Linked DNA regions of Callithrix jacchus. The protein of the gene in region 6 purifies or fractionates together with the protein of the main gene of each other region. This does not show direct contact. Links are inferred from orthologs where the notes say so. Each region holds a gene or a part of one and is shown on either strand. Other genes may lie near its edges.

Region 1 (3,841 bases), on a different chromosome or scaffold from region 6:
AAAATCAGAGACAATTTAAATGTTCTTTATAGTTCTCCAGCACATAATGGTCTAGAGAACACAACTTAGGAATGTGGATTCTAAGGACAGCTTTTTACTGCTTAGGCAAATTTACTTCTGATCCTTAAATATGGTGGCACAAGCAAATTTCCTTTACACTTTATAGAGCTTGATTAAATGAGTACGTATGTGAAGAACACTTAGAACACAGCATGACAGAAAACATAATGGCCATTTATACTCACTTTGTATATGCAACGTGGATCACTTTACACAGGAAAAACTCAATATAGCCCTCTTCTAAACATACAATCCTGAACTACAGGACAACGAATCAAGGTGCTGCCTCGCTTGCCATCAGCCTTCGCTATTACACAGATACTTCTCTAGTTAGTTCTGCTTGGGTCTTACTGTTCTGGTCCTTGCAAATACCACAAGTATGGTTAAAACCAAGAAGATATGTAATGTTCTGCAGATCAACATGCCCCTCAGTCTGAATGAACAGTCTAGTCAGGCCTTGTGTCTTTTGTACAGTATTTTATTAAAGATCGTTACAGAGCAACATTCAGACTCCAGAATGCAGCTGCCAAGGAGACCCTGAAACCAAATAAACCACAAAATTAAGAAACTTTACTGGAGTTACTAAGCCTTCATTTACCAAATGGATACACACGCCCACTTAGCAACACTAACAAAAAATACATACATAAACGTTTGTCCTTTTTCACATAAAATAATTACAAGGCTCCTAGAGACACAAAATATAAAACACCAAGAAACAAAAAACCCCCAAAGGTTGACCATAGGAGGCTTGTTTTACAGGGGCTGCTAAAGGACAGAATAGCCAATTACTAGCAAAAGTATCTACAAAATCTTGAGCAACAAGGCATGGTGGCTCATGCCTATAATCCCAACACTTTGGGAGGTCAAGGCAGGGGGATCACCTGAGGTCAGGAGTTTGAGACCAGCCTGGCCAACATGGTGAAACCCTGTCTCTATTAAAAATACAAAAATTAGTCAAGCGCGGTGGCTGGTGCCTGTAATCCCAGCTACTTGGGAGGCTGAGACGAGAATTGCTTGACTCTGAGAAGCAGAGGTTGCCACTACACTCCAGCTTGGGCGACAGGGCAAGATTGTGTCTCAAAAAAATAAAATAAAGTATTTGAGCAAATAAGGGAAAACTATTTCATACACAGGAGTAAAAGCAGGAACTTCTTTCTGAAATAAAGGCAAACACCTGTCCCAATAGAACTGAGGGTTAAAGAGATCCCAGGTTTCAACTTGTATTCTCCCACATCACCAAATGCTCACCAGAGTATGGGATACAAGTTATTAACAGAAAGACTAGGAAGGACCCTATTCTGCCCCAAGAGACCCCTGCCCCTGCAGGCATACCTGTTATGCTGTGGGGACTGGCTGGGGCATGGCAGGCGGCTCTGGCTTCCCACCCTTCTGTTCTGAGATGGGGGTGGTAGGCAGTATCTCATCTTTGGGTTCCACGATGCTCACATGGTCAGGCAGGGGCTTCTTAGGGCCAATCTTACCAGTTGGGTCCCAGGGCAGCATGATCTTCACCTTGATGCCCAGCACACCTAGAAGACACCACAGTTGTTAGCACACAGCTGGGGGTCTCACTGGCCCCCACCACACAAGACCAAAGAGAGCAAGCAGTTTACTCAAGCAACCTGGGTCTGGTCCCTTCTCAGACAAATGCCTCTAAATCAATCAATGAATAGGACACACTTCTGCAAAAGGAACCTGTGAACAGCACCACAAAACATGGCACTGTCAAGGACCAAGAGCAGGATGTGACCTTTCTGACTCGTCATCGTGTCATCACTGAAGGGTACACAGATGGCTAAAACAAGGACAAACCAACTCTTGGATCTAAAAGGTATCAGCAATTCAATTCTTACAGATAAATATGGCAATCAACATGCCAAGGAGTATGACCATGCCCAGCCACTTCCATGATAAACTCCCCAAATACTTAGATGTCTGTGGAAAACCAAATGTGTCCACAAATGCCCTTTGCCAAGCACTCTCAGCTGCTTACCCTGTCTGAGCAACACATGGCGTACGGCAGTGTCAACGTAGTAGTTAACAGGGTCTCCGCTGTGGATCATCAGGCCATCCACAAACTTCATGGATTTAGCCCTCTGTCCTCGGAGTTTCCCAGACACCACAACCTCGCAGCCTTTGGCCGAGCTCTCCATGATGAACCGCAGCACACCATAGCAGGCCCTTCAGAAGAACAGGAGATCCATTCTTGTGTTACTGTCAAGGACAGAATTTATCTAACAACCCCCACTAAGTTTAAAAACCAGAAGAAAACTTAGTTTTCAATGTTCCTTTAATGGAGAATAAATCTGACCAGAATCTGGCTCCAAAAATATTAATTCTCTTCCAGGCTTATCATACCTAATCTTAGGGTAATATTCATCAAGTACGTCAAGCTCCTAACCAAGTACTTTCCAACCCAGGCTGCCTATCAGAATCACCTCGGAAAGCTAAAAAAAACAAAAGAAACCCTGATGTCTAGGCCCTATTCTAAGCCAATTAAATGGGCAAAGTCCAGGCTTTATGTATTTAAAAATGCTCCCTGGGTGATTCTCACATATAACCAAAATTGAGAACCACATTTTTACAAGTACCCACTTTGTGGTTCCTTGAAATATTCTGCAACCTCCAGAAGTCTCATTCACTAGGAAAGCTAACCCACACAGGACCCTGGCTACCTCGTTATTAGAATGCTGATAAAACATTTTAAAATATGCCCTACCTGCAACTCATTTGGTAGTTTACACTCCGCAAGATAAGAGGTAGCCACCTCCAGGCCCTTTCACATTATCTTACTTACTATTCCACAATTGAGAGGTGGTATAATGGTCCCCCTTAGAAGATAGAGGAGATCCTAGGCTCAGAAGTTCATTAACTTGCTTCAGTGTGTGAAAGCCCATGTGGGGGAGAGTTAAGACAGATTGCTGAATCACACATCCAGTTTCCCATTTGGTGGGTCTGGGATGGACACAAATCTTCTGAGAACCACTGTTCTAAGCAACACAACTGGCACTCAAACCAGGTAAGCAGTCTTTTCTAGGTCCTTACCTAGAGCCCGGCCTACACCACCCATCCTTACCAGTTAACCTTCCTACAGCACAGCTTTCCCCTAGGCCAGGCATTCCAATGCCTTTACATACAAACTGCACAAAGAACTTCCAGTTGAAATCTTACCAGCAGACCCTCACATTACTACCTGCATGCAACTTAGAGGTTTTCAGTGTCTAGATTTTAAGCTCTCTCCCAGTAGGTCTTATCTCTTCACAGTAACATTTTAAGAGTGAACACACTACGTAGATTTGAATGACCCCTACTAGCTTGTTCTAAGTTTCATGGTATCCCACAAATACTAAGGCACTTCTACTTAGGGATACATAACACATGCCCAGCAACAGGCCTAAATTATTCCCTATTGCCCGCCACCCACCACAGGGCTCTTTGTAAGACATCCTTGAGAAGACCAACAGGAGTTGGCCCCCTCCTTGGACAGTTCTATTTGTGTTTAACTCCCAAAGCACCCGTAACACTTCTCCATTACAACACTGAATATACCCTTCATGGTTCTTGCTGCTTTAGCAGTCTTGTTAGTCTGCCAGTTCAGTGAAGGCATGGCTTAGTACCCTATAATCACAGGAGATTACCAGATGCTGTCACTTTGTAACAGTTCATCTGCTAAATTAACAAATGGCAGACATATATTTTGATACACACAAACGTCAGTACCATTAGGTCTCAGGATACTTACCTGCGCACAGCAAGCCCTCCTAGGAGTTTGTAACGC
Region 2 (4,632 bases), on a different chromosome or scaffold from region 6:
AAAGCTATTGTTGAAGACAGGGGATACAGGGTGGGCGCCGGTGGCTCATGTCTGTAATCCCAGCACTTTGAGAGGCTGAGGCAGGTGGAAAATGTGAGGTCAGGAGTTCGAGACCAGCCTGGTCAACATGGTGAAACCCCATCTCTACTAAAAACACAAAAATGAGCCAGGTGTGGTGGTGCACATCTGAAATCCCAGCTACTCAAGAGGCTGAGACCCAAGAATCTCTTGAACCCTGGAGGCAGAGGCTGAGGTCCCAGAATCTCTTCAACCTGGGAGGTAGAGGCTGCAGTGAACTGAGATTTCAGCACTGCACGCTGGCCTGGAAGACAGAGTGAGACTATCTCAAACAAAAACAAATTTAAAAAAAAAAGGAGACAGACCTGACCGAGGATCCAGAAGGTGCTACAGGCTCACAAAATCTTATCCAGCTCTACAGAATCCCCTTTTAAATTTCAATTCCAGAGTCATTCTGATGGAAATAAAAAATAATACATAACCTACATAGGGCTACTTAGCAATATTTATCAAAATGCAAATACATCTGTCTTTTGACCTGGCAACCTTACTTCTGGGAATGTATTTAAAAATATTCCTGACAAGTACGTAGAATGATACATATACAAAATTATTCACTGGAGCACTATTAGTGAGCAACAGAAATGGAAATAGCCCAACTAAACGCTCATAACAAAAGACATGTTAAATAATGCATCCTGGCCAGGCGTGGTGGTTCCCACCTCTAATCCCAGCACTTTGGGAGGCCGAGATGGGAACATCACTTAAGGCCAGAAGTTTGAGATCAGCCTGGTCATGATAGTGAAATCCTCATCTCTGTTAAATAGAAAGGAGGAAACCAATGTTTAAATAAAAATTAAATTAAAAACCGCTATCTTATACTGCCTCAAAAAACTATGATAATGCCATCTATAAAAAAGAATTAAGGGCCAGGCGCAGTGACTCACCCAGGGCACGGAGCCTGGCTATTTTTGGTAGAGAAAAACCATTAAAAAAATAGTACAGCTATGCACAATGGCTCATGCCTATAATCCCAACACTTTAGGAGGCCGAGATGGGAAGACTGCTTGAGCCCGGGAATTGGAGACAAGCCTGGGCAACATGATGAGACCGTCTCTACAAAAAATAAAATTAACCAGGCATGGTGGCATGCACCTGTAGACCCAGCTATTTGGGAGGCTGAAGTGGGAGGATAACTTGAGCCCAGGAGACAGAGGTTGCAGTGATCCGTAGGGGTGAAAAAATATCCACAGGACAGTGGGTGGGACAAATAATTCTCAATGCGTATACCATGTTATACTGTTAAGACTGTAAGCCAAGGCCAGGCACGGTGGCTCACGCCTGTAATCCCAGCACTTTGGGAGGCCGAGGCGGGTGGATCACGAGGTCAAGAGATCGAGACCATCCTGGTCAACATGATGAAACCCTGTCTCTACTAAAAGTACAAAAATTAGCTGGGCATGGTGGCGCGTGCCTGTAATCCCAGCTACTGAGGAGGCTGAGGCAGGAGAATTGCCTGAACCCAGGAGGCGGAGGTTGCAGTGAGCCGAGATCGCGCCATTGCACTCCAGCCTGGGTAACAAGAGCGAAACTGTCTCAAAAAAGAGAAAAAAAGAAAAAAAAAAAAAAAAGACAGTAAGCCATTATGTAATGCTTTACCTACTCAGAACAAAAAAACCTTAAAATCCCTTTTAAGCTTCCCTAAATTATGGATCCTCTATTCAGAAAAATGCACCTAACTATGGAAACACCAGCATCCCTGGACCTTGGGAAGGTTATGATCTACCATTCAGGGCTTAAATGTTGTGATGTCTCCGTTACTATTTTTTTTAAATGTCAGCAAAAATGAACCAACCATGGCATAACGTTAAGAACTATTAAATCTTTCCAGTTGCCTAACCAAAAAAAAAAAACCCAAAATAAAAAACAAAAAAAAAAAAAACTATTAAATCCAGGCTGGACACAACCCAGCACTCTGGGAGGCCCAGGTGGGCAGATCACTTGAGGTTAGGAGTTTGAGACCATGGCGAAACCCCGTCTCTTTAAAAAGCAAAACAAAACACTATTAAATCTAGATGATGACAGGTTTATGGAAGTTCGTTATATTACTCTACTTTTCTGATAATAAATTTCAATGACAAAAAGTAAACAAAAATATAAAAGCCAAACCCGTGTTCTGGGATCCTGTATCCTTCACTTCTCATCACAGCAGAAACATAGGAGGTGCACTGAGTCTTACCGGATCTGCTCAATGGCCTCCCACGTCAGGGTTCTGGGCGGAGCACCAGGCGCCTCCATTTGCCTTCGAATTTTCTGGAATCGGATTGCTTTTTTCTGTCGTTTCAGGGTGCTGGGGGAAAGAATCAAGGGCGGAAGCCATGCGTGGAAGCAGAATGGATGTTTGAAGAGCCTCAGGCTAAATCAGGAGCGCCCAGCCCTCTTCTCTAGGATTGCAAGGGCAACCGGGCCATGTTGCCTGCTTAGAGCTGCTCTGTACACCCAAAAGCTAACACCTAGAACACAGTAACTGCCCGCGAGATGCCGAACTTTCTATATTGGTGATGAAATACGTCACTAGTGAAGGGACCAGGGGTTCCAGGGGAGCTGAACACCTGACGCTGCGCCCCTGACAACGGGTAAGAAGGAACAAGGGACGTTGCGCAAGCGGCCACAGGACGCCCAGCGCCGAGGGCGCAGCCTAGGGCGCCGGGGCGCGAGGCCCTGCTTCAAGCTGAGGGCCCGGGGAGAAGCCTGTACCTCTCCACCTCCTGCAGCTCCCGTTCCTCCGGCTCCCAGTCGGTATCGGGGTCGGGCTCTCGGCCGATAGGGCCTGGGCCTGCCACTCCCCCGGTCGCAAACCCACAGCGAGCAACGGCAGCGCGAATGCGGCCGCCCAGCAAGACCCTCAGGGTAACCGCCATGTCGACGCTAACTAGTCTTCAGTAGTCCGCTACGAGACAGCAGCGGAAGTAGAAAGGCAGAACCGGAAGCGAAAGGGGCGGGCCGGAAGCTGAGTGGTAGCAAATATTTCCTGCCTCACTTGGTTTGGGGGAGATCTGGGCCTGTGGCGCTCTTTGGCCCAGCCTTCGTGGCTGTAGCTGCGGAGGGGGCTTCCCTGAAACGCGAGCTCGGAAATGAGGCACAGGACGCGCCTAGAAAACGGCACAAACTTTAATTAAAAAACGGATTCAGTTTCCAAGCGCCGTCTCTCCGCACTAGCGGCTGCCCAGGCCTGCCTGTCTCCGCCACCGCCGCGGGCAGGGCTTCCGGTCAGCGGTCTTCTGACGGCGACAGCCGGTGACTTGGGTACTCGGCTCCTCAGAGAAAGGGGCTCTTTGTCTCCAGGATGGCCTTCAGCCCCGGGCCGCACCTAGGGTTAAGACCCGTCACCTAGCGACAAACCCAGGCTAAGGCTTGATGAGCAGAAATCAGTACGTGGCTGTCCTTGGCGCCTCTTCATCTTCTAGGCTTTCCCGATTTCCAAATAATCTTAGGGTATTGGTGTCTTTGTATTTTGCCTTGTGCAAATGGGGTTCCTGGGCAGGGCTTTTCAAAGTGGAACTTGGTGGCAATCTTTCATTTAGCATAGATTGAATACCCTTTGCCCCTCTGGAAACCTCGGGAGGTTCTCTAGGAGAGGTAGAGTGCTGGGCTTCCCTCCTGCTTTTACCTGAACTGACTGATGTTGAAGAGTGTTCTGGAACGCTGCAGCACCGGTGCAGACGCAGGGCAGAGGGGAACCTTGGCTTCTATGTGTTCAGAGTTTACCACGGAGGGCAAGGTGCATTCAGCCCAGGAGTCAGATGCCACCCTTTCCGGTTGCAGAAGATAGCCCTGCTTTGGGGTTAAAGTGGGTGGCACTGATCCTGCCAGGACTCGGTTTATGGCTTCTAACCTTCTGCTGGCTTGGCCTTCTGCAGCGGAAACATGGATGTCCCTGAGTTGGTACTCACAGAAGAGATTTGCTCACCTCTTTCCCAACTGTAACCCAATGACACAGAAGAAGGGCATCCCATGCGTCCCTCCACTGTCTTTATCACACTGTATTGCCATTGGAATGTCTACTTGTCCATGTTCCTGTTACCTTTGTTGAGTGCCAGGACTCTGTTTTTGCCATTTCTATCACCACAGTCTACTGTACAGAAAGGATTAAACAGGCCTGCTGCGGTGACTCACACCTGTAATCCTAGCACTTTGGGAGGCGGAGGTGGGCAAATCACCTGAGCTCAGGAGTTTAAGACCAGCCTGGGCTACATGGCGAAAATAAAAAATACAAAAGTTAGCCAGGCATGGTGGCATGTGCCTGTAGTCCCAGCTACTCAGGAGGCTAAGGCAGGAGAATTGCTTGAGCCCGTGGGCCGAGGTTGCAGTGAGGTGAGGTCAAGCCATTGTACTCCAGCCTGGGCAACAGAGACCTTGTCTCAAAAAAACAAAAAATAAAGAAGTAAATAAATGGATACCCTAACTTCCCCATTCTGGCCCTAGTGAAAGTGCCATATTATATTTTGGGAGCATCCAAGCTCTATGTTTACTAGTGGCATTTACACAGGTCCAAGTGATGAAAGCTAGTTTTGCATACTTAGGCTAGTGAGCTTGATTCTGGCACTGGAAAAA
Region 3 (3,856 bases), on a different chromosome or scaffold from region 6:
AGTCTTTCTGCATCACACAGTCTCTGGGCAACAGGACTGCAAGCCAGACTCTCCAGCAGGGGCTGCTGGGTGTGAAGCATGGGATACAGCAGGGGATGCAAGGGCATGGGAATACCTGTAGTTTCGTAGCAGCTTGGTTATGAACTGGGGGTCATAGCCATCAGGGCCCTTCTTGTACAGGGAGTTATAGGTGAGCAGCCGCTCCAGCAGTGAGTACCCCAGCCCATGCTTCTGGGTCAGTGGGGAACGCAGCACAGGCCCCAGCTGCCGAGGGTCTCCTGCCAGCACCAGCTGCCCTCCTGGATTGCCTGTCTCCTTTACTTCCATCAGCCCTGGGAAGCAGAAGAGGTGTGGGGAAAAAGGTAAGTGGTGCAGCCTCTCTGACCTCACACAGGGTGTACACTTGCAGCCCCACCTGAGTCCCTCACCTGCTATAGCTACCAGACTCTCAGGCTCCATGCAGTGGCCAGCCTCATCGATGAAGATGTGTGTGAAGTGATCAATGGGAAACTGGGCCGAGACCAACCTGGGAGGTGTCAGGCCAGGCAGGGGTCATATCCAGACACCCAGCTACCAAACCTGAATGCTTTCCCAGGCTGGCTCCTCATCCCACCACCCCCCAGAAACCATTCTTCCCCATCTCCCAGCCTGTTACCCCTTTAGTTAAACTTACGATTTAGAGACACAACCACACACACTCCCCACCTGCCAGCCGTGATGAGGGTGGTAATTAAGACCCGGTATTCCTGCAGCTTCTTCTTGGCGGGAAAAACATACTCCCCCTTCTTTGCATCCCAGTTGCAGCAGGGCTGTGGATTGTGAAGGGACCATAGGAATCAGCTTGGCTCCACTCATTCCCACCCAGACTCCGGCTGTGGGCCCCCAGATACTTGTTTTTATTTCTATTTTTTATTGAGGCGGAGTCTCGCTCTGTTGCCCAGACTGGAGTGCAATGGCGCGATCTCGGCTCACTGCAACCTCCGCCACCTGGGTTCAAGCAATTCTCGTGCCTTAGCCTCCCGAGTAGCTGGGACTACAGGCATGTGCCACCACACCCAGCCAATTTTTTTGTATTTTTAATAGAGACAGCCTCACCATGTTGGCCAGGCCGGTCTCAAACTCCTAATCTGCCTCAGCCCCCCAAAAGTGCTGGGGTTACAAGTGTGAGCCATGGCACCTGACCCCCCCAAACGTTTTATCCACTTCCTCACTTACAAACTGAGGCCCTGGGAGGGTCCTGACCAACCCAAGGCCACACAGCAAGTATCAGAATCCAGATCTCCTAGCTTCCTGGCCTCCCCAGCATTCGCCGTTCTTTGGCCCTCTGCACTTCCCTAGTACCTTAATGTCCTCAGGTACCATGCGGATGTCCCTGCTGGGGGCCAGGAGGCGGTAGATGGAGCTGGGAAGGTGGACCCGGAGCCTCTGACAGAGGAGGTCGGCCCCTGAGTTGGATGGAGCGCAGGCCAGGATGTGGGCTTTGGGCAAGTGCTTCACCACCTGAGATACAGATACGCGCAGTGAGGGAGGCAGGTTCCTGAGACTTGGCCGTACTCAGGCTGGGGCGGTGCAAGCCTCTGATGACTGAAATGTGAATGGTGACTCCAAGAGTCACGGAGTGCCCTACCTGTGCAACAGTGCTCCACAGCAACGTTTACCCTAACTTCGTACTCCCCAATCCCCCCTGCCTTTTTTTTTTGAGACAGAGTCTCACTATGTCACCCAGGATGGAGTGCAGTGGCACCATCGCAGCACACTGCAGCCTCAAATACCCAGCTAATTTTTTTATTTTTTCATAAAGACAGTCCAAGCTGGTCTTGAACTCATCGGGCTAGGCCTCCCCAAGTGCTGGGATTACAGGCATGAGCACTGCAGGGGAGTGGGAATGAACCAGGCTTGGTGCTGGGGGAGTCACAGTGCAGGCCCCAGGTTTGTGCTCAGGCCCCACCTGCTTAATGGCCTCCACTAATGTGACGGTCTTGCCGGTGCCTGGAGGCCCAAAGATGATGTAGGGAGCTGGACGGGTGGTGCCCATAACAATGTGCCTCATGGCCTGCAACTGTTCTGGGTTTGACTCCAGACTCCGGTCGTACAGCCTGGCAGAGGGACCAGGAATGGGAACTTGAAGTCATCCAGTGACCCCGAGGCCTCCCCAACTCCTTCCCCTGTGCCCACGCGCCAAGAGGCTCCCTGCCCACAGTCTCACTTGAGTTTCACATCCGAGGGCAGCAGCGGGACGTCTCGAGATGCCACAGGAAAGAGCATGGGCCAAAGCAGCCAGCGCCCTGTCAGCTCCAGGGCGCGGTGCTGGACTCGCAGGGGTTGGCGGTTGAAGGTGAAGTTCACCTTGAAGGTCAGCCCATCTACGAAGCGGCTCAGGAGGCTTTGGGCAGAGGTAGGGAGGGAAGAATTTGTTGTGAGGGGGAAGTGGGCAATAAAGGGTCAGAACCTTCTCCATCAACCACCGTCCCAACCACGTTCCAAGACCTCACAGCAAAGCTCTCTACAAGAGGAAGCCACTGTGGCATCTCAGAATACCCCTGAAGAAAAGTTCCCTGCTCTGCCCTTGGGGTCTCATTTATCTTAGGGAGAAACACTCCTCCTCCCCTGGGGTGAAAAGCCTGTAGATCCTTCCGGCAGCTCAGGGTTCACCCAACACCCACCTCATGGAAAAGCTCAGCTTGACACGGTCCAATTCCACCTTGTGCACAAAGCCCTTATAAGTGATGGGGTCCTCCTGGTGTGTCTCCGAAGACAAAATGGCAAACAGGTGGTCACCCCGTAGCACTGAGGGGCGGCTCTCGGTCACCCCAGGAACCTATGGGGCATGAACACAAGCTTCTATCCCAGGGAAGGACGCTGGAGGGCCCAGCCCCTAGGTTCTCCAGACCTCTAAGGGACAAGGACTGAGACTCGCCTTCTAACCTAAGGCTCAGGGAACTATGCTATCCCTACACCTCTCTCTCCTTTCATGCCAGCCAGAGCAGGAGTCAGGGAAACAGAAAACAAATCTTCCAAAGCTGCACAGAGGTGCCGAGCCCAGGAACCCGGAGCCTCCAGTGCAGCTGCCCCTTGGCCAGCTCAGTTCCTGTTCTGCCTGTAAAAATCCTGTTCCTCAGCTAATCGGGTTGCTAAAAAAAAAATAAATAACAACAACAGAAAACAAGCCAAGCATGGTGGCTCACGTCTGTAATCCCAACACTTTGGGAGGCTGAGGCAGGCAGTCACTTGAGTCCAAGTGTTTGAGACCAGCCTGGCCAACATGGCAAAACCCCATCTCTACACAAAATACAAAACTTAGCTGGGTGTGGTGGGGCGGGCCTGTCTTCCCAGTAACTCGGGAGGCTGAGGTGGGAGATCCCTTGAGCCCAGGAGGTGGGGATTAAAGTGAACCAAGATCATGCCATTGTACTCCAGCCTGAGCACCAGGGTGAGATCCTGTCTCCAAACAATTGAAAACATAAAATAAAATCTTAGCTGGGCACAGTGGCTCCTTCCTGTAATCCCAGCTACTCGGGAGGCTGAGGCAGGAGAAGCGCTTGAACCTGGGAGGCGGAGGTTGCAGTGAGCTGAGAACACGCCATTGCACTCCAGCCTGGGCGACAGAGCAAAACTTTGTCTCAAAAAAAAAAAAAAAAAAAAATCTTGTTCAAAACTCCCACTCTCTGCAGTCATCTTTCCTTGATCAAACTCACCCTGTCATTCCCACCTGCGCTTGTGTATGGAAATCCATTCTCTTGTGTAATTTTGGGCTTATATACACACATTCAAAATCCAAGAGCTAGAAAGAGTTCTAAGAATTATCCAGTCCTGCTCTACGCTTTTCAGATAAGGGAACTAAGCCTCAGAGAAAGCA
Region 4 (3,820 bases), on a different chromosome or scaffold from region 6:
TGTTTAGAGACTCTACTAATAAATTCATGGAAGAGATAATTTATTGCCATAACATAAGCCTGCTTCATTTTTATGTTTTGTTTTCAACACATAATAATTGTAAGCCTACTTCTTTTTTAACATACAAAGGTGCCTTCTAGTTTGTGGTGAAATAAAAAGGATTATTTATTTGCTTTCACTTCTTTGGATTTTAGAGAATACTATATTGGTAAGAACAGTCTCCAAAAGTAGTTCAACAGTCCTGTAGACATGGTAATAAGTTTTTTTTAAAGAAAATGTTCAACTTTAATATTAATCAAAGAAATACAAATTAAAATAGCAAAGATATCATTTCTCAACTAACAAACTGGCAAAGATCAAAAAAACTAACGTACATCAATAAGGAGGGTATGAGGGGGAAAAATAAAACACACAGTCCTCTAGGTAGAAAGATAAAGTACCAGAATCTTTCTGGTAACACAAATCACAAGCCTTAAAAATGGGTATATCCTTGACTCAGCAATCCCATTTCTAGGGATGTATCTTAGAAATAACTAATGATATATGCAACAATGAACATATAAAGATGTAAATATAATTTTTAAATTAAAATTTTTAAGAGGGAATTATAAAATCAGTGTGCCCATATGACAGAACATAATAAAAATCAGAGCAAGATTTTTTCCAGTTTTTAAAAGGAAGATTTATTTAACAAGTTTCACTTAGTACAATACATCTAAATGGAAATCACAATACAAGGAAAGATTTAAACCAAAGCCTCAGAATCTCATACAAACGACACGACCAAACTTCTAAAGTATTGGTATTACATCTTAAAATTGTCCCGTATCCTTTAAAAAAAAAAAAAGTAAAAGTGTACACTCACGTGCCTTACAGAGTATTAAACCAAAAAGCTAGAATTAACAAACATGCCAAATGTTTTCACTTTGAATCGTAGACACAGCTCCTATATTTGAGTTTTACAGAAAAGCATGTTTCTCAACATGCATCCAAAGTTTTCAATGTATTTGTGGTATAAGAGCAACATTTAACATAAGTGAAACTGCATTAACCTAAATAAGCTTACTGCTTAAGTACACTCCTACAACATAACTAACTTGAGAAAAGCTAAAAATCGTTTAAACAGTTATGGTCAATACTGAACTTTGTTATTATGTCCTAGATGAATGTTTCAGTGTTCAAAATTACTGAACTTGAAGTTTCAAAATAATCTCAACTCCCACTTTACAGTAAGCATGAATCACAAGCCTGTAATGCAAAACTGTTAAACTTAACTTTTGTTTTCTTAAAAAAGGAGAAAGATAAAGAAAGAGAAGCTGACCAAGAGTGATCAGTATCAATAATATTTCCCATATGCCAATCATACTGGATATACTAGACATCCCTCCCATTCTATTCAACTCCCATAAATGTACAGCTTTTATATCTAGAGTAGCTGTTTAGTGCTCCTTCTCTACCTAAGCAAGGTTTGACTGATAGTCACTGGAGTTTTCCTGGAGAACTTGGTCATATCCACTCATACTGCTCTGACCACCATAACCACCTCCATAACCACCACTCAGCTGCTGGCTAGCAGGACCGCCATAACTAGACTGGTTGGATAAGCCCATCCCTCCCATCATTTGGCTACCATAAGCGCCACCACTTGCCCCTGCTGTAGAATTCAAAAACAGTTCTACATAGCTGTGATCATAAGCCCCTCCACTTGTTCCTGCAGTAGAATTTAGGAAGAGCTCCACATATCTGTGTTGCATATTAGCCTTGTCTTTTGCCATAGCTGCCACAGCATCTTCATGAGTAGCAAATTCAACATCTGCCTCACCAGTAACTCTGCCATCGGGTCCAATTTCAATATGTACTCTCATGGGATTAAGAGGTGAGAAGAAATTATAAATATCATTCTCAGTGGCTCTGTAAGGTAACCCCCTCATGTGTACACAGTGCCCTGTGGTGCTCTGGAAACTGGACCCACCATCTCCATATCTATGATCAGACATTCCTGAAAAACAGTAATTGAGGTCTCTTCCAAATCTATCTGACCCAAAGCCATATCCATCATTATAGCCACCATAGTCATCATAGCCTCCATACCCTCCACCATAGGCACCACGCCTCATCCTTTCAAACCCAGCTCCTCTGCCAATGCTATTATACCCTCTGCCAGCCCCTGGCCTATCATAGGGACCTGGCCGCTGCATAGCCATGAGCTTTCGAGGGGGATCATAGTGGGTTCGAACTTCAGCTCGGCTACTCTTGAAGATCTCAATGTACCTGTGCCCTATTCTTTCCTTGTGTTTCTTTAAGGCCTTCTCAGCTATCTCCTGCGAAGCAAACTGCACAAAGGCTTCCCCTGTGCTTCGCCCCTGAAAGTCCACTGGCAGTGTCATCCCATTTGGCACAATTTCCAACCCTGAAAAGAACTGAACGATCTCTTCCTTGCTACAGCCAAATGGGAGTCCTCTAAGCCGGACGAAGCCATCGTTGGCAGTATCAGGGCTATTCGGACCTGTATGCTTCAACACCCAATCCATTTCAACACTGTTAGACTTGAATACTTCAACGTATCTGTGTCCCATGGTTTCTCTGTCCTTCTTCAAAGCCAATTTCACTTCCTCTTCAGATTCAAGTTCAACAAATGCTTCGCCACTTGGTCTTCCTTCTCTGGTGTAGATGAAACGAATACCTGATGTGCCATTTTGGATCTTGCAATCAGAGAAGAAGCGCATCACTTCATCAGCTGAGCAGGACCAGGGTAGGCCCCTGACCTTCACCACGAACCCCTCCCTGCCTTCTGTGCTCAGCATCATGGTGACTGTTGGGCTCTTGGTGGCAAGTTTGGCTCAACACAATTTTGGTGTAGCTGGAAAAAAAAAATTAGAAGACTACTGTCATGGAAAAATGCTAATACAGTAAAAGAGAAAAGCAAACTATTAATAGAAAACTCAATTATGCTGACAGCTTTGCTGTAAGACATCTGTATAAACAAAAAAGAATTCACCAAATTTTTAACTCATTCATTTTTTAACAGTTATTTATTCAATGCCTATTACGTGTTGGATACCATTAAAAATTAACAGCAATTGGCCAGGCACCGTGGCTCACATCTGTAATCCCAGCACTTTGGGAGGCCGAGGCAGGTGGATCACCTGAGGTCAGTAGTTTGAGACCAGCCTAGTCAATGTGGTGAAACCTCATCTCTACTAAAGATACAATTAGCTGGGCATAGTGGTGGGCACCTGTAATCCCGGCTACTCAGGAGGCTGAGGCAGGAAAATTGCTTGTACCCAGGAGGCAGAGGTTGCAGTGAGCCAAGATCACACCACTGCGCTCCAGCCTAGGCAACCAGGGCAAAATCCCATCTCAAAAAAAAAAAAAAAAATTAACAGCAACAAATAAATGGGAGATGTCAACAAATAAAAGATGGCTATATCTGAATATATAAACATAAAAAACTTCACTAGATCAAAAGATTAAACAATAATTAAAACACAAAACACAAGTTATATAAGTTCTTTATATAATATCCTTATATAAAAATGTAGGCAAATCAATAAAATCAGGGATATATTTAGGCTTCAGAGATAAATGAAAAAAAGACATTATTGGGAATTCACACATTCATTTTAGAAACATCTTGTAGTTGCCAAGTCCAATACTCGGCTCTAGCATACAAGAATCAATAAGCCCACAAAGGGCTTATGGTCCTACAGGGGGATTGTATGTAATTATTAAAGACATAAATGCAAATAGACATTATAATTGCCATGACCCTCTGGGTGAGGTGTAAGCACAGTATTAAGGAGGGAGCAGTTGATCAGTT
Region 5 (3,552 bases), on a different chromosome or scaffold from region 6:
ACCTGCGAAGCTTCCTCCAAAGTTGCCACGCTCCATCTCAATGGCACGGTCAAAGCTGGCACCGCCACCGCCACCCATGGCCAGGCCCATGCGCTCGATGCCAGCGCCCAGGGCCGGGCCCATGGCAGGGCCCATGCGCTCAAGGCTGTTGGCACCCATGCGCTCCAGGCCCATGCGCTCGAGGCTGTTGGCGCCCATGCGCTCCAGGCCCATCCGCTCCAGGTTGTTGGCGCCCATGCGCTCCAGGCCGGTAGCCATGCGATCCATCACGGGGCCCATGCGCTCCAGGCCAGCCCCCATACCTGCGGGCACCATGCGCTCCATGCTCAGGCCCATGCGCTCAATGGCAGGGCCCATGCGCTCCACGCCAGAGCCCATGCGCTCAATGGTCTGGCCCACACGGTCGATGGGAGCGGCCATGCGCTCGAGGCCGAAGCCCATGCCGGCACCCATGCGCTCCACGCCAGAGCCGATGCGCTCCATGGTCTGGCCCATGCGCTCGATGCTGGAGGCCATGTGGTCGAGGCCCAGCGGGCCCATGCGCTCGATGCCAGAGCCCATGCGTTCCACGGAACCCATACGGTCCATGACCAGGCCCATGCGCTCGATCTCAGAGCCCACGCGATCCATGCCGTGGCCGAGGCCTGCGCCCATGCGCTCCATGCCGGCACTCCCGAGGCGGTCAATGCCAGGACCCATCCTCTCGATCCCAGGGACGCTGCCTCCACCTCCACCTGAAACAGGGACACAAAACACAGTGAGTGCCAAGAACTTGTGTGTGCATGTGCACAACATGCCAGACCACTTCAGCTCATGGGCACAGATCAGAGGTAAAGGCCCACCATAATTTACCATTAAGACACCCCTTGAATGTTGACAACAGCTACAGCCTGAGTGGTGGGTACAGGGAGGCCTCAGAGCATTCTCTCTGCTCTATGCCACAGCTCAGATTTCTATAACACAACTCTCCTGCATGTGCCTGTGAGGTGCTAGTGTCTGTGACAAGCTTTGTGAGCCACAGATGTCAACTGCTGAGACCTGAGGTTTCTCCATCAGCAGACATTGAGAAATGCTCCGGGGGGAGGCATGGACACCCCCCACTCAGAGGGCCACCCAGGGTCATGAAAAGGAGTGACGTGCAGGCAAGTCAGAGTCACTCCCACTTGTCTGCTCCCACCCTGTCCCCTAGGATGCTCTGCTGGGGGCCAAACCAGCTGCATTTCCTCAGCACTCCAGGGTACAGAGAAAAGATCTGCAGAGGTCAAGAAAACACACACCAAGAGAGATCCTCTGTGTACAAATGCACACAGCTGGCCACTTCAGGGGACCTTTTTGTTGGGGAAACCAAATATCTTGCTAGCTTTGGAAAGAAGATGTCGATGGCACTGCAGAGTTGGCTCTGGCAGCGGCTGGGGTCAGTCAGCAAAATGAAAGGACCCCAACTGGTGGTTCCCTGCAACTCTGGACAGGAAGGGTCTGGCTCCATCAGTAAGGCCACCCCTTTCCACATGCCAAGCTCAGGGTTCCTCCTGCAAATGCCGCCGCCTGGCTCTGAGGGTGGCTGTCAGCCACGTGCCAGCCTGTGACTGATCCAAGGAGCTCTAGTCCAAGATACCAATTCAAGAGAAAACTCAGCAGTTTCTCTAACTGGCTCTCTAACTGACCATGGCCGAGTGGCTCTGCTGCTCCTTAACTGCCCAGCAGCACACTGAGCAGCAAAAAGCCCAACTTGAAGAATGGAAGATTTTCAGAGGGGAGAGGCCTCAGAAGCTAACCAACTTCCCCACAGTAGAAGGAACCTAGTGAGAATCGGCACTTTGCCCAAAGACATCAGAAATGAGGCAACTCCCAATGCCAACTGCTGCAAAAACTGGGGAAAAATGGTGCCAGTGTGGAGCTCCAGAGCAAGCCCAACACAGAAGTCAGCAGGGAAGATGCCAAGACACTCAGAGCCTTGAAGAAAATCAGGCTAAAAAGTACATTTAGGCTGGGCGTGGTGGCTCACACCAGTCATCACATAACTCTGGAGGTGTGCAGGTCACTTGAGGCCAGGAGTTCAAGTTACTGGGCAATATGGCAAAATTCTGTCTCTACACAAAATACAAAAAAATTAGCCAGGCCAGGTGATATGCACCCATAGCCCCAGAGTTGCTTGGGAGGCTAATGTGGGAGAATTGCTTAGGCCTGGGAAGTCCAAGCTGCAGTTAAGCCGAGATTGCACCATGACACTCCAGCCTGGGAGACAGAGTGAGACTGTCTCCAATAAAACCCCCACAAAGTGTATTTTGTTCTAGGCATCCATAAAACTGTGTATTCATGAAAGGTGCAGAACAGAATGTTTCCAGCACTCATCATTGGGTGCAGGGCTTCAGATCACACTTTCTTCCTATTTTCCTACTGAGTACATGTATCTATTTTAGTAAGCATTTATTACATTTCTTCTACTTACCAAGTAGAAGGAAACATATTTACTTTTAGGGATTTATAGTGTGGAAAACAAAATCCCCAAATTCGAGGTACTCTGACAGTAAGGATGGTCGGCCTGTGCACAGCACAGGCTTCAGTACTCTTTCACACACATTCCCTCTCCACACAGCATCCCTGAGGCAGGTACTATTACACTCCAATTTTACAAATGAGTGCTATGAGAAACAGGTTCAGTGACTTGCCAAATGTCACCCAGCTAGAAAGCAGCAGATCTGGTCCCACCCCAGGGAGTCTGTGTCAGAGCCCATGCTTCTCACCACTAAGCTCTATGGTCCCCACCAATAACAGCCTATTCTAAAAAAACAAAACATCAAACTAAGTAGTTCCTACCTCCTCCCTGCTTTGCAATGATCTCTCCTCTCTTCAGTGCATTACTTAGGATTTCTAAGGAAATCAGGAAGAAAAAAAAATTAGCCAAATTTCTCTATGGCAACAGAAATGTGCTCATTACAGAAATACTACTAAAAATGAAAAGAAAAAGGGAAAGGGTTGAGAAACATACACACACAGACAAGATCATTGTACAGAGAACAAGCAAAGTCCTTGCTGCTGGTCACAATGCCAAGACCCCAGGTAGCTCCAGAGTCCAAGGCCGAGCGTGGGGGGTCACCTGAGAATGTGCCCGGCAGAGACAGGAGCCCCGTGTGCATCCATGAGCTGAGAGCCAGAGCAAGAAGGGAGCCGTCAGGTCTTGCTCAGCAGCAGTTTTCTAATTCTGGTCCAGATTCTCAGGACTGAGGTTTCCTTACCTCACCTGAGCTGGAAACTAAGCCCCCACCCCCACCCCAGCCAACTTGTTGTTCAGAAGACTGCCCAGCATCACCCACCTGAAGCCCACATTTGTCCACCCAGAGGCACCTCTTGTTATGACAGAGCAAATTAAAGCTCCAGCTCCATGGACAGCCTCAACGCTGAAAGTCCCCCATTACCTGACAAATGAGCTCTGCACGGAAATCCCCGAGCATGCCAGTCCTGCCTGAAATGAGCTTGGAGTGCTATGACTAAGCAATAGATAAGGTTGCAGAAAAATACATAAATGCGCCCCCTGCCAAGTGACCCAAACAC
Region 6 (4,638 bases):
TGTTTAGTGGTCAAAATAAAAGTAAGATTGGGTTAACTGCCTTCCTTCCTCCCAAACTATGGTGACTCCATCTTTGCATTTCATTCTCTGGGAAAGGCATTCAGTTGAATAATCCAGTCGTAAGAAAATTGGCCTAACTCCATGACATAGAGAGATTTCCATAGCGGCACAAACACACCCTCCAGCCTTGAAGGCCTTCATGGGAGATCTAGGGCCACAGGCAATCAGAAATTTCTTGGATCCATCAACTAAGCGCCTAAGGTCCCAAAGCATTTAAGATACTAAATCCTTCTATGACACTAATCTAACTCAAAGACACCATTATCCACTTATCTCTACTAATTGGGAGTGAGGCGGCCCCAGCTTAAAGCTAGGAGGAGGTAGCATAGCAAGCCCATTTAATATACCATGCAGTGTACCAGACAATGCTTCAACAGCACCAAGAACCCAAGCTCTAAAAGGCTATTCTAGCTGTCACACCAAGTACTTGGATCACTGGATACCTACCACTACCACCGCCAAAGCCGCCTCCGCCTCCGTTGTTATAGCTGTCATAGCTGCCACTCCCGCCATAGCCACTGCCCTGGTTTCCATAACCCTGTCCACCACTTCCATAGCCTCTGCTTCCTCCAGAGTAACCAGGGCCGCCTCCTCCATAACCACCTACAAGAATACAATTCTTCTCAATAAGACAAAAGTATTTGACAATGAAAACTTGTGCAAGTGTAATGGCTGAAGGCCTGCTCACAGCATGCGTGTTATGGGAAAAGTTGAGCTTGTCATGCACTAGAATTTTAGTCTTGACTAACCTATTCTAAAGACACAGGTTGCCAGGAATTTTTATCTACTTATTCCTAAAAAACTTACCATCATTGCCAAATCCATTATAGCCATCCCCACTGCCACCATAACCACCACCACCACGGCTGCCACCAAAGCCACCTGGAAGAAAACAAAGTTTTAAGTTTTAAGCATGATCTGCATATCAAATGACATTCTGGATGCACTTCCTGTACTGTAAAACCTGCATAGCAAAGATGGTAAGAAGTCAGAACTACAGGTAAATAAGCCGTACATACCACGACCGCTGAAATTTCCTCCACGACCAAAGTTGTCATTCCCACCGAAACCTCCTCCACGACCACCACCAAAGTTTCCAGAACCACTTCGACCTAAAGAGATGAAGTTTAAACGTTAAATCATTCATACTGGAGTAACTGAAAGTTGCTTTTAAGGTTTAATGAAGCAATAAGCATACCTCTTTGGCTGGATGAAGCACTAGCCATCTCTTGCTTTGACAGGGCTTTCCTAACTTCACAGTTGTGGCCATTCACAGTATGGTATTTCTGAACTAAAAAAAAAAAAATGAAGACAGGTACAACATGGTCTCAGGGTTTAGAACGCCACATGGACTGCGGAACCCTTACTAAATACCACTATTTGATACTTACTGACAATCTTATCCACGGAGTCATGGTCGTCAAAGGTTACAAAGGCAAAGCCCCTTTTCTTGCCACTGCCTCTGTCCGTCATGATTTCAATCACTTCAATTTTTCCATACTGTTCAAAATAATCTCTTAGGTGATGTTCTTCAGTGTCTTCTTTAATGCCACCAACGAATATTTTTTTCACAGTTAAGTGGGCACCTGGTCTTTGAGAATCCTAATAGGAGGAAAACCACAGGTTTAGATTAGCCAAACCTACACCCAAATAAAAAAATTTTTAAGTACAAAACTCCTGAATCCAAATACACTAGCAGCACATCGCCAAAAGAATTGAAGGGTAAAAAAACCACTCACTTCTCTTGAGACAGCTCTCTTTGGTTCCACAACTCTTCCATCCACTTTGTGTGGCCTTGCATTCATGGCTGCATCCACCTCCTCCACAGTTGCATACGTGACGAACCCAAAGCCCCTGGAGCGCTTGGTGTTTGGATCTCTCATGACCTGAGAACAGTGTTAATTCATGTAACAAAGTCTGACCCCAAAAACTTTTGTAATTTTAACTTTGAACAAGGGAATAGGAAACTTTATACCAGCCCTGTACAAAAACCCCTCCAGTTTCCCACTATCCTAGGTTTAAGAGGTAACTCTATCAAACAAAGCAGGACTTTCCTTCGTCAACAAGGCTCTAGCTATAATACTACTAACAACCTTCCTAAGTATTCAGAGAGAACCGCCCCAAGATAAACCAAGGAAATCCACTATTTTACTGTTTGGTCCCTTCCAATTCTTACCACACAGTCTGTGAGCGTTCCCCATTGCTCAAAATGGCTCCTGAGGCTCTCATCGGTTGTTTCAAAGCTCAACCCTCCAATGAAGAGCTTCCTCAGCTGTTCCGGCTCTTTAGGAGACTACAGTGGGGGAGGCGGAAGTGTTAAATGAGCTGTAACACCAAACAATTTCCATCGAGGAAAATCAAAACTAGACAACTGTGTATGTAGCACTTATTGTTCGTTCAGATTGCAACAAGCCATGTGCTTCTCTCTAACAGGGGAGAAGGTATGTTGGGGGTTGGGAGTGCTGCGAAATCCAAAGCGCATGCGTCCCTAGTCGCCTTCCGACGCACGCGCAACAAAGGCTTAGGCGGGAGGGGTACATCGCCAAAATGGGACTAATCGCTCTTTTAAAAACTCGCTCACCAAAGCAAGGTTTAGAAAAGGAAAAGCCTTATGTGCGTAAGAATTTTTGCTAAGACTATAGAGTGCTGCATAATAACTCATGATTGGCGCGAGCGGCCTCATGGCGATCAACAGGACAAAATGGCGACTTGAACTTTGGGAGGGGTAGGCCGTGGCAGCAACCTAAAAAACTGTAGAATGGGCTGGTGAAAGGAACGAAACCAAGCCGCATCTTACCAATTCAGGAAAGGAAGAGGAAGAAATTCAAGTTGGAAAGAGCGCCTAACTCACCTCTGACTTAGACATGATCGCGGGGAGAAGAGAGACTTTAACGATGCTGCTTCGGCGGCGTCCACGGGCAGAAAGGAGCAAACTGACGAACGTATCTGCCAGCCTACCTTCGGCCTTTCTTTTTTACCCCGCCTCCTCCCTTTCAGCATTGGTACACTCCGCCCTTGAACAGTTCTGATTGGATGTGTGAAATCTCTTCCCCCTACTATTGGCCTGTGGTGCCACACTGCTGTGTAACGTCATTCCTTTGGGCGGTCTACGCCCTCTCCACCCCTTGGAGTTCATTGGTTCCCGAGTAATATTATTCTTAACCAGTCTGATTGGCCAGCCGATAAATCATTCATATTTGAATATACCTTGGGTGTTTAACGCCTTTTTAATCTTCCCCGCACAAATATTACGCTTGGCAAAGCATGATTAACACTATGTGTCAGAAAAGCAGTTAGCCAGCAGGTCAAAATTTTGACTGCTTGTTGAGCGCACGTGTAGTAAAATGGCGAGTTTTGCGCAGGCGCATTAAGAACTTCCAGCAGCCTCTGGGAACACGTGAAATGGCGGGCAGTACTAGGCAGTGACCCTACGGCGCCTGCGTATTGGCGGGAGTTGGTTCCAGCTTTGCGCATGCGTGGTGGGCGGAGAAAGGGTCCGTTCCCGGATTGGTTGCGCAGGCGCAGGGAAGGATCCGTTTTGGCGGGCGGTTGGCGTTGCGCAGAAGGTGGTGGCGGTGGTGGCTTGCGTTGCGGCCTCACCATACAGCAACAGGGCAGACGTTAGCGTGAGTGATCACTCTCAATCCCGGGTAAGTGGCAGACAGTCTTCTCTACCCATCGTAGGTCTCGAACTGACTCTATTTGGGCCCGTTATTGTGTGAAATGAATGGACCGCGGGGTGGGGGATAGTGAAAGGGCAGCGGTGGGTCGGGCCAACCAATAGAAGAACAGGGGGCGGGATGTTTTAATCCCTGTAGGTTCTTTGGAGCGGTGCAGCTGAAGACTTTGACTGGCTTGCGTATACGCCAATTGGGTCTGCCTTGAGCTGCCGACTGATGGGCCCTTGGGGCCATCGGAATGTGGGAGACGGGTTTCCCCTCCTGAGCTGCGTCTCACTGAGCCAGTAAGCGCGAAGCGCGCGGTAGGTTGGGCTTCTCCAGGAGGCAGCGGTTTGACTCCAATGGGGAATGCGGGAGTCGGGCGGTTAAACTGATGGACCGAATCTGGAGCCAGTAGACGGACAGCCTAAGGAAAGTGCTCGGACCAGTCGTCCAATCGACTCCAGAAGAGGGAGGTCTTCGATTTGGGGTTGTGAGGAAGGGGAGTCGGTGAATGTAATGGCGTGTGAGGGTGAATGTTTTATCCACAGTGACTTCTCTAAGGAAGCCTTTAGGCCTCTGTCCCATAAACCTCCTTGAAAGCGTAAGTTTGCTCCTGGCTGCCTCGACTTGACATTTTCCCCCCCACCTCCTCACCACTTGAGGTTTGGAGAACAGGGGAGGGTTTTGTTGTTGTTAAGTAATACTTTGAGAAGTCGCTTCTTTAGGAAGCTGTTAAAATGTTAGAACGAATAGGAAAAATCACAACATACTGTCATGGAAAGGCGTTCGAGAAATATTTCTTTCCTAATAGTGCATATTTCTGAACTAATATGTTGTAGGTCTAATAAAAAAGTTTCGGAAAGCTACACCCTAAAGTGTGTCAATCCTAGGGACACAGTAGGATCGAGGCAAGTTG
Region 7 (4,593 bases), on a different chromosome or scaffold from region 6:
TGAGTGAGATGGTACCTGCCTGCAATCCCAGCTATGCTGGAGGCTGAGGCAGGAGGATCACTTGATTGCAGGAGTTTGAGGTTACTGTGAGTTACAACTGCACCACTGCACTCAAGCCTGAGTGACAGAGAGACTCTGATTCTGTCTCTACAAAAATAAATAAATAAATGTTAAAAAAAATCATTCAGAATGGTTTGCCTGCATGCTTCTATAGTTCAAGAATTTATAGGACTCTAAGGGCAAGAATTCTCATCATCATCTCTAACCCTCCACAGTCCTTAGTTGATGGGGAACAAAAACCAAGGATCAGTGTAGGGGCCTGTCTTAGACAAGACGGTGCCTCATTTGCCCTGTGTTCCGCTTCCCTAATCCAGGCATGTGTATTCTGGCTGTTCTTCAAACCTAGCTTTGCTCTGAGCATCTGCTGACCATTTTAATTCAGGAAACCCATTCTATGGCTTCCTTGACAAAGAAACCCAAGAGAGAAAGAACAAACAGCCTTCTTTCTCAGTCATATCAGTGTTTTTCCTTGCCACCAGCAGAGTTACCTTTTTCTTCGGTCCATTTGTGTGCACGTAGACTAGTTTGTCTTTTGCATGTGAGATGCCAAGGGCTCTTCCAATCACACTGTTGAGAAGATTTTTGGGCTGTGGGAACTCTTTTAATAAGTCCCTAGAAGCTAAGAAAATAAGAACAAAACATTACAATTGTTCTTTTTCTTTTAAAAACTCCATGGTGCAACCCTGGGCTGGATTCTGAGGATGTTGGCTCATGACCCCAAACCACCCAGGAGCATCTTGAAAAACAAAGGAGGAATGACTTCAGGGTTTACAGGGGAGAGTGGGGCAAGACCCACTTGAATAATTCACTCCAATAACCACCTCTTGAAAGAAAAGGGCTAATGACCCATACACCACAGAAGGGAATGTACCAGCATCCTCTTCCCCGCCCGACCTCCTTATTTCATACATCAGCTACAGAAGCCTGGTTGGTTAATAAACCCTCCTAGTCTGATGTCTGAAAGAAGGTACTAAACAAACAAACAAACAAACAAAAAATACAAAACAAAAATTCACCACACACACAAACTGGAGATCAAGACAATGCAAGGCCCCTCCTAAAATGATACACACAGAAGAGAGGCCTGGCCGTATGTATCTCAAGTGATGAGACCCAGACACTGAATACCAGGCCCCGGCTCTCAAGTATACCTAAGCACACTGCAAAAGGCTTCCACAGAGCCAAACTATGTGTGGGGACTGATTAAAGACCTCTACAGCTGGTCACAGTGGCTCATGCCTGTAATCCTAGCACTTTGGGAGGCTAAGACAGGCAGATTACCTGAGGTCAGGAGTTCAAGACCAGCCTGACCAACAGGGTGAAACCACCGTCTCTACTAAAAATACAAAAATTAGCTGGGATTGGTGGCTAACACCTGTAGTCCTAGCTACTCAGGAGGCTGAGGCAGGAGAATCACTTGAACCCGGGAGGCAGAGATTGCAGTGAGCCGAGATCACGCTATTGCACTCCGGCCTGAGCAAAACCCCGTATCAAAAAAAAAAATTAATTAATTTAAAAAGACCTCTACATCTGAGCAGGAATGAGTTATTCCTCCTCCAAGTTCTCTGGAATCACAGAGAAAACTGATGCATCAGATACCATGAGAGGTGCCTTGCTTCTTTTCACTTGTTTTTTGGATCAATCCCAGAGCAGAAATGGGTGAGATGTCTACCTAGAGGAAGCTTGTACCAGACACAAGGCTTAACCAGGTCATGAAGAGGTCTGCTAGGAACATGGGGGGCGGTCCATATTCTCCACTCTAGACTCTGGCAGTTCCAAAAGGAGCACTCTATATGCACATGTGCACCTGCATGTACACTGATCACCCGGGGAGCTTTTTCACCACATGGGCATCCAGCTCCCCACAGGGCACCTGAGAATGGCAGCGATGTTGGAGGAGGCTCTTTATTTTGAAAAAAATGCCTCCAAGCATTCTGATGTAACTCTGCTGCTGGTTTGAGATTGTTTCCTTGGAACAGAGTCCTGTGTCAAGTGGCCAGGATGGAGAACACCTGGTCCGGTCTCCCTCTAAGCGGTCACTTGTAAAGCAACTAAGATTCAAGCAATTAAGAAACCATATATAAGTGGACTTCGGGGGACTGGTCACAGAAGTACCTAACTCTGAATAGCCTAGTAGATCCACTGGTTTAACAACAGAGGTGCACTGAGACCCCCCCTTCAGCTTTATAAGGTTGGTGGAGACTGGCGTTCTCTACCCAACTTCGATGCTTTCGCCAGCTTTATTCTCTGCACTATTCGGGAGGCACAAAGCTGGAGTCCACCAGAGCAGTCATTCTGTATCTATTTGAGATCCTGATGTCTCAGGAGTATTTTGGGCTATTTCTCACACTGGTGAAGGCATGCTTATCCCTAGAAGCTCTAGCCCTTGTTTACTCACCCTGGCAGGAGTTGGACTTTTACTCGTTTTCCTCACTGTCTCGAGGTCTCGCGCCTCTCAACTATTCCTGCCAGAAGCAGGTAGGTTCTTAAGGGTCTATTTGGGCCTGTGCCACGCTAAGCTTTACAAACAGCAGGGCGGCGTCCCGCCGGCGGATGGCGAACTTGGCCGCTATGAAAGAGAGGACCCCCGGCCGCTAGGCCGGGTTTCGGCCCGCGCCCCTAGCGCCGCCATCCCAGGAGTCAAGGGCGTAGCCGCCCACCCTCGCTGCTGCCCTCACCGTTCACCATTGTTCCGTCGCCTTCCCCAGGCCCGCCCGGGGCCATCCCTGACTCGGCCTCGGTGCAGTCGGAGGGGGCGCAGCCTGAGGAGAAGCTGCGCGACCGACTCTGTGGTCCAGCAGAGCGGGTACCCAGCGGCCGCAGGCGCGGGGAGACGCCGGCGACCAGCCCCATGAACCTCTTGGCGGCCGCCATCGTGCTCCCGCCGACCCCCGCGGCCTGTGTGCTGAAGAGACCTGGCGAAGAGAACGGGAGCAGCCGGCCTGAGCTCTGCGCGCCCCCTGCCGGCCGGGCGGACCCGACGGCCGAGCCTGGACGAGGGCATCCGCTCACTACAGCCCTGAGCGCCCAGGAGTAGGCAGGCTCGGCGCGGCCCAGGGCTTGGAACCTGCCGAGCTCACTCTCCGGCAAATCTAAACCGGCAGTCACGTGGATCGGAGGCAGGAAGACGGAATGGGTCTTTGGGGGAGAAAATAATGCTAGGCCTTAGCTCAATGTCATATAAGGAAGCGAAGTTAGTTCCCTACCAATTGTTCCTATCTCTCAACTTCTCAACATGCTTCTGGCAAATCGGCAGCCCCATTTTGTTTTTGTTTTTTTGAGATGGAGTCTTGCTGTGTTGCCCAGGCTGGAGTGCACTGGCTAGATCTCGGCTCACTGCAACCTCTCTTCCTGGATTCAAGTTATTTTCCTGCCTCAGCCTCCCAAGTAGCTGGGATTACCGATGCCTGCCACCACACCCAGCTAATTTTTGTATTTGCTATTTTTTTTTTATTTTTAGCAGAGACCAGGTTTCCCCAGGTTGGTCAGGCTGGTCTTGAACTCCTGACCTCAGGTGATCCAACCACCTCGGCCTCCCAAAGTGCTGGGATAACAGGAATGAGCCACCACGCCCTGCCACCCCATCTTATTTAATGGCTTACAAAGTAAACCTGGTGAAGATCTGGAGCCAGGACAGGGTGTGGTGGCTCACAGCTGTAATCCCCACACTTTGGGAAGCTGAGGCAAGTGGACTGCTTGAGCCCCGGATTTTGAGACCAGCCTGGGCCACATAGTGAGACCCCAACTCTATTATGTTTAAAAACGAAAAAGATCTGGAGGCAGGCCAAGGAAGACCTCTTCTTCAACATAAGCAGAAACAGATGTAATCCCCAGGGCTGGAGGGGAAGGTGAAAACACCCAACTTTGGAAACCGCCAGGAACTGAGCTGGTCCAGCGTGAAGTCCAGCAGTGAAATTGCTGTTCCTGGCCGGACGTAGTGGCCAACGCCTGTAATCCAAGCACTTTTGAGGCCAAGGCGGGCGGATCACCTGAGGTCGGGAGTTCAAGACCTGCCTGACCAACATGGTGAAACCCCATCTTAAAAAAAAAAAAAAATTGCTGTTCTGCACTTGCTGGAACGCCAAATAGGATTTCATTTCCAAAATATTCTGCCTGGATCTTAGCCAGGCTCATTTCTCTTCTGCCTCCTATGGCCTTGAGGAGCAGGGCTCTGGGTCAACTAGGAATTAGACTGAATCTGTATGTTGAGGGTAGTGACAGCGCAGAGCCAGGGCCTCAAGGTCTCAGTCTCTTGGCGGGGCAGGGGGTGGGGGAGCACAGTGGGAGGGAGACTTGTGTAGGAGGTAGTGGCAAAAATATTAAGGGAAAAACGGTAGAGAAAGTTACACGATATAGTCTCAAACCCTTTCGAAAAGCCTGCAAGTTTTTTCGTATTTTCAGGAGAAGTTTTGGCTGAAGGCAGCCTAAAACCCCCTTACATTTAGTTAATAAGTAAAGCAAAGGCCAAACATGGTGGCTCACGCCTGTAATCCCAGGCACTTTGGGAGGCTGAGGCAGGTGGATCACAAGGTC

What was found.
Region 1: the proteins of HNRNPA1 (region 6) and RPS3 fractionate together in Homo sapiens (co-fractionation; 3 studies listed by BioGRID and IntAct, with this or other methods). This does not show direct contact. The link is inferred for Callithrix jacchus from reciprocal best matches to the Homo sapiens genes HNRNPA1 and RPS3.
Region 2: the proteins of HNRNPA1 (region 6) and NGRN purify together in Homo sapiens (affinity purification with mass spectrometry; 3 studies listed by BioGRID and IntAct, counting the BioPlex papers as one, with this or other methods). This does not show direct contact. The link is inferred for Callithrix jacchus from reciprocal best matches to the Homo sapiens genes HNRNPA1 and NGRN.
Region 3: the proteins of HNRNPA1 (region 6) and MOV10 purify together in Homo sapiens (affinity purification with mass spectrometry; 3 studies listed by BioGRID and IntAct, counting the BioPlex papers as one, with this or other methods). This does not show direct contact. The link is inferred for Callithrix jacchus from reciprocal best matches to the Homo sapiens genes HNRNPA1 and MOV10.
Region 4: the proteins of HNRNPA1 (region 6) and HNRNPH2 purify together in Homo sapiens (affinity purification with mass spectrometry; 3 studies listed by BioGRID and IntAct, with this or other methods). This does not show direct contact. The link is inferred for Callithrix jacchus from reciprocal best matches to the Homo sapiens genes HNRNPA1 and HNRNPH2.
Region 5: the proteins of HNRNPA1 (region 6) and HNRNPM purify together in Homo sapiens (affinity purification with mass spectrometry; 6 studies listed by BioGRID and IntAct, with this or other methods). This does not show direct contact. The link is inferred for Callithrix jacchus from reciprocal best matches to the Homo sapiens genes HNRNPA1 and HNRNPM.
Region 7: the proteins of HNRNPA1 (region 6) and DHX30 purify together in Homo sapiens (affinity purification with mass spectrometry; 3 studies listed by BioGRID and IntAct, with this or other methods). This does not show direct contact. The link is inferred for Callithrix jacchus from reciprocal best matches to the Homo sapiens genes HNRNPA1 and DHX30.

Annotation. Positions count from the first base shown.
Region 1 is NC_133511.1:65,547,592-65,551,432, forward strand, and holds the end of RPS3 (small ribosomal subunit protein uS3), read right to left. Parts: coding exon 3,806-3,841; intron 2,245-3,805; coding exon 2,057-2,244; exon of another isoform or gene 1,593-2,056; coding exon 1,399-1,592; 3' UTR 1,396-1,398; exon of another isoform or gene 598-1,395; 3' UTR 525-597; downstream 1-524. UniProt on the Homo sapiens protein: Component of the small ribosomal subunit. The ribosome is a large ribonucleoprotein complex responsible for the synthesis of proteins in the cell. Has endonuclease activity and plays a role in repair of damaged DNA.
Region 2 is NC_133507.1:19,384,462-19,389,093, reverse strand, and holds the start of NGRN (neugrin), read right to left. Parts: upstream 2,968-4,632; 5' UTR 2,940-2,967; coding exon 2,776-2,939; intron 2,369-2,775; coding exon 2,258-2,368; intron 1-2,257. UniProt on the Homo sapiens protein: Plays an essential role in mitochondrial ribosome biogenesis.
Region 3 is NC_133508.1:150,657,198-150,661,053, reverse strand, and holds part of MOV10 (helicase MOV-10), read right to left. Parts: intron 2,819-3,856; coding exon 2,664-2,818; intron 2,384-2,663; coding exon 2,207-2,383; intron 2,097-2,206; coding exon 1,949-2,096; intron 1,501-1,948; coding exon 1,342-1,500; intron 810-1,341; coding exon 706-809; intron 527-705; coding exon 429-526; intron 333-428; coding exon 116-332; intron 1-115.
Region 4 is NC_133524.1:97,712,582-97,716,401, reverse strand, and holds the end of HNRNPH2 (heterogeneous nuclear ribonucleoprotein H2), read right to left. Parts: intron 2,861-3,820; 5' UTR 2,808-2,860; coding exon 1,458-2,807; 3' UTR 658-1,457; downstream 1-657. UniProt on the Homo sapiens protein: This protein is a component of the heterogeneous nuclear ribonucleoprotein (hnRNP) complexes which provide the substrate for the processing events that pre-mRNAs undergo before becoming functional, translatable mRNAs in the cytoplasm. Binds poly(RG).
Region 5 is NC_133523.1:8,000,654-8,004,205, reverse strand, and holds part of HNRNPM (heterogeneous nuclear ribonucleoprotein M), read right to left. Parts: intron 2,872-3,552; coding exon 2,818-2,871; intron 735-2,817; coding exon 1-734. UniProt on the Homo sapiens protein: Pre-mRNA binding protein in vivo, binds avidly to poly(G) and poly(U) RNA homopolymers in vitro. Involved in splicing.
Region 6 is NC_133510.1:65,267,814-65,272,451, forward strand, and holds the start of HNRNPA1 (heterogeneous nuclear ribonucleoprotein A1), read right to left. Parts: upstream 2,988-4,638; 5' UTR 2,927-2,987; coding exon 2,912-2,926; intron 2,354-2,911; coding exon 2,237-2,353; intron 1,947-2,236; coding exon 1,800-1,946; intron 1,663-1,799; coding exon 1,452-1,662; intron 1,352-1,451; coding exon 1,259-1,351; intron 1,173-1,258; coding exon 1,080-1,172; intron 943-1,079; coding exon 868-942; intron 664-867; coding exon 508-663; intron 1-507. UniProt on the Homo sapiens protein: Involved in the packaging of pre-mRNA into hnRNP particles, transport of poly(A) mRNA from the nucleus to the cytoplasm and modulation of splice site selection.
Region 7 is NC_133516.1:30,535,438-30,540,030, reverse strand, and holds the start of DHX30 (ATP-dependent RNA helicase DHX30), read right to left. Parts: upstream 2,956-4,593; 5' UTR 2,935-2,955; coding exon 2,739-2,934; exon of another isoform or gene 2,459-2,738; intron 680-2,458; coding exon 549-679; intron 1-548.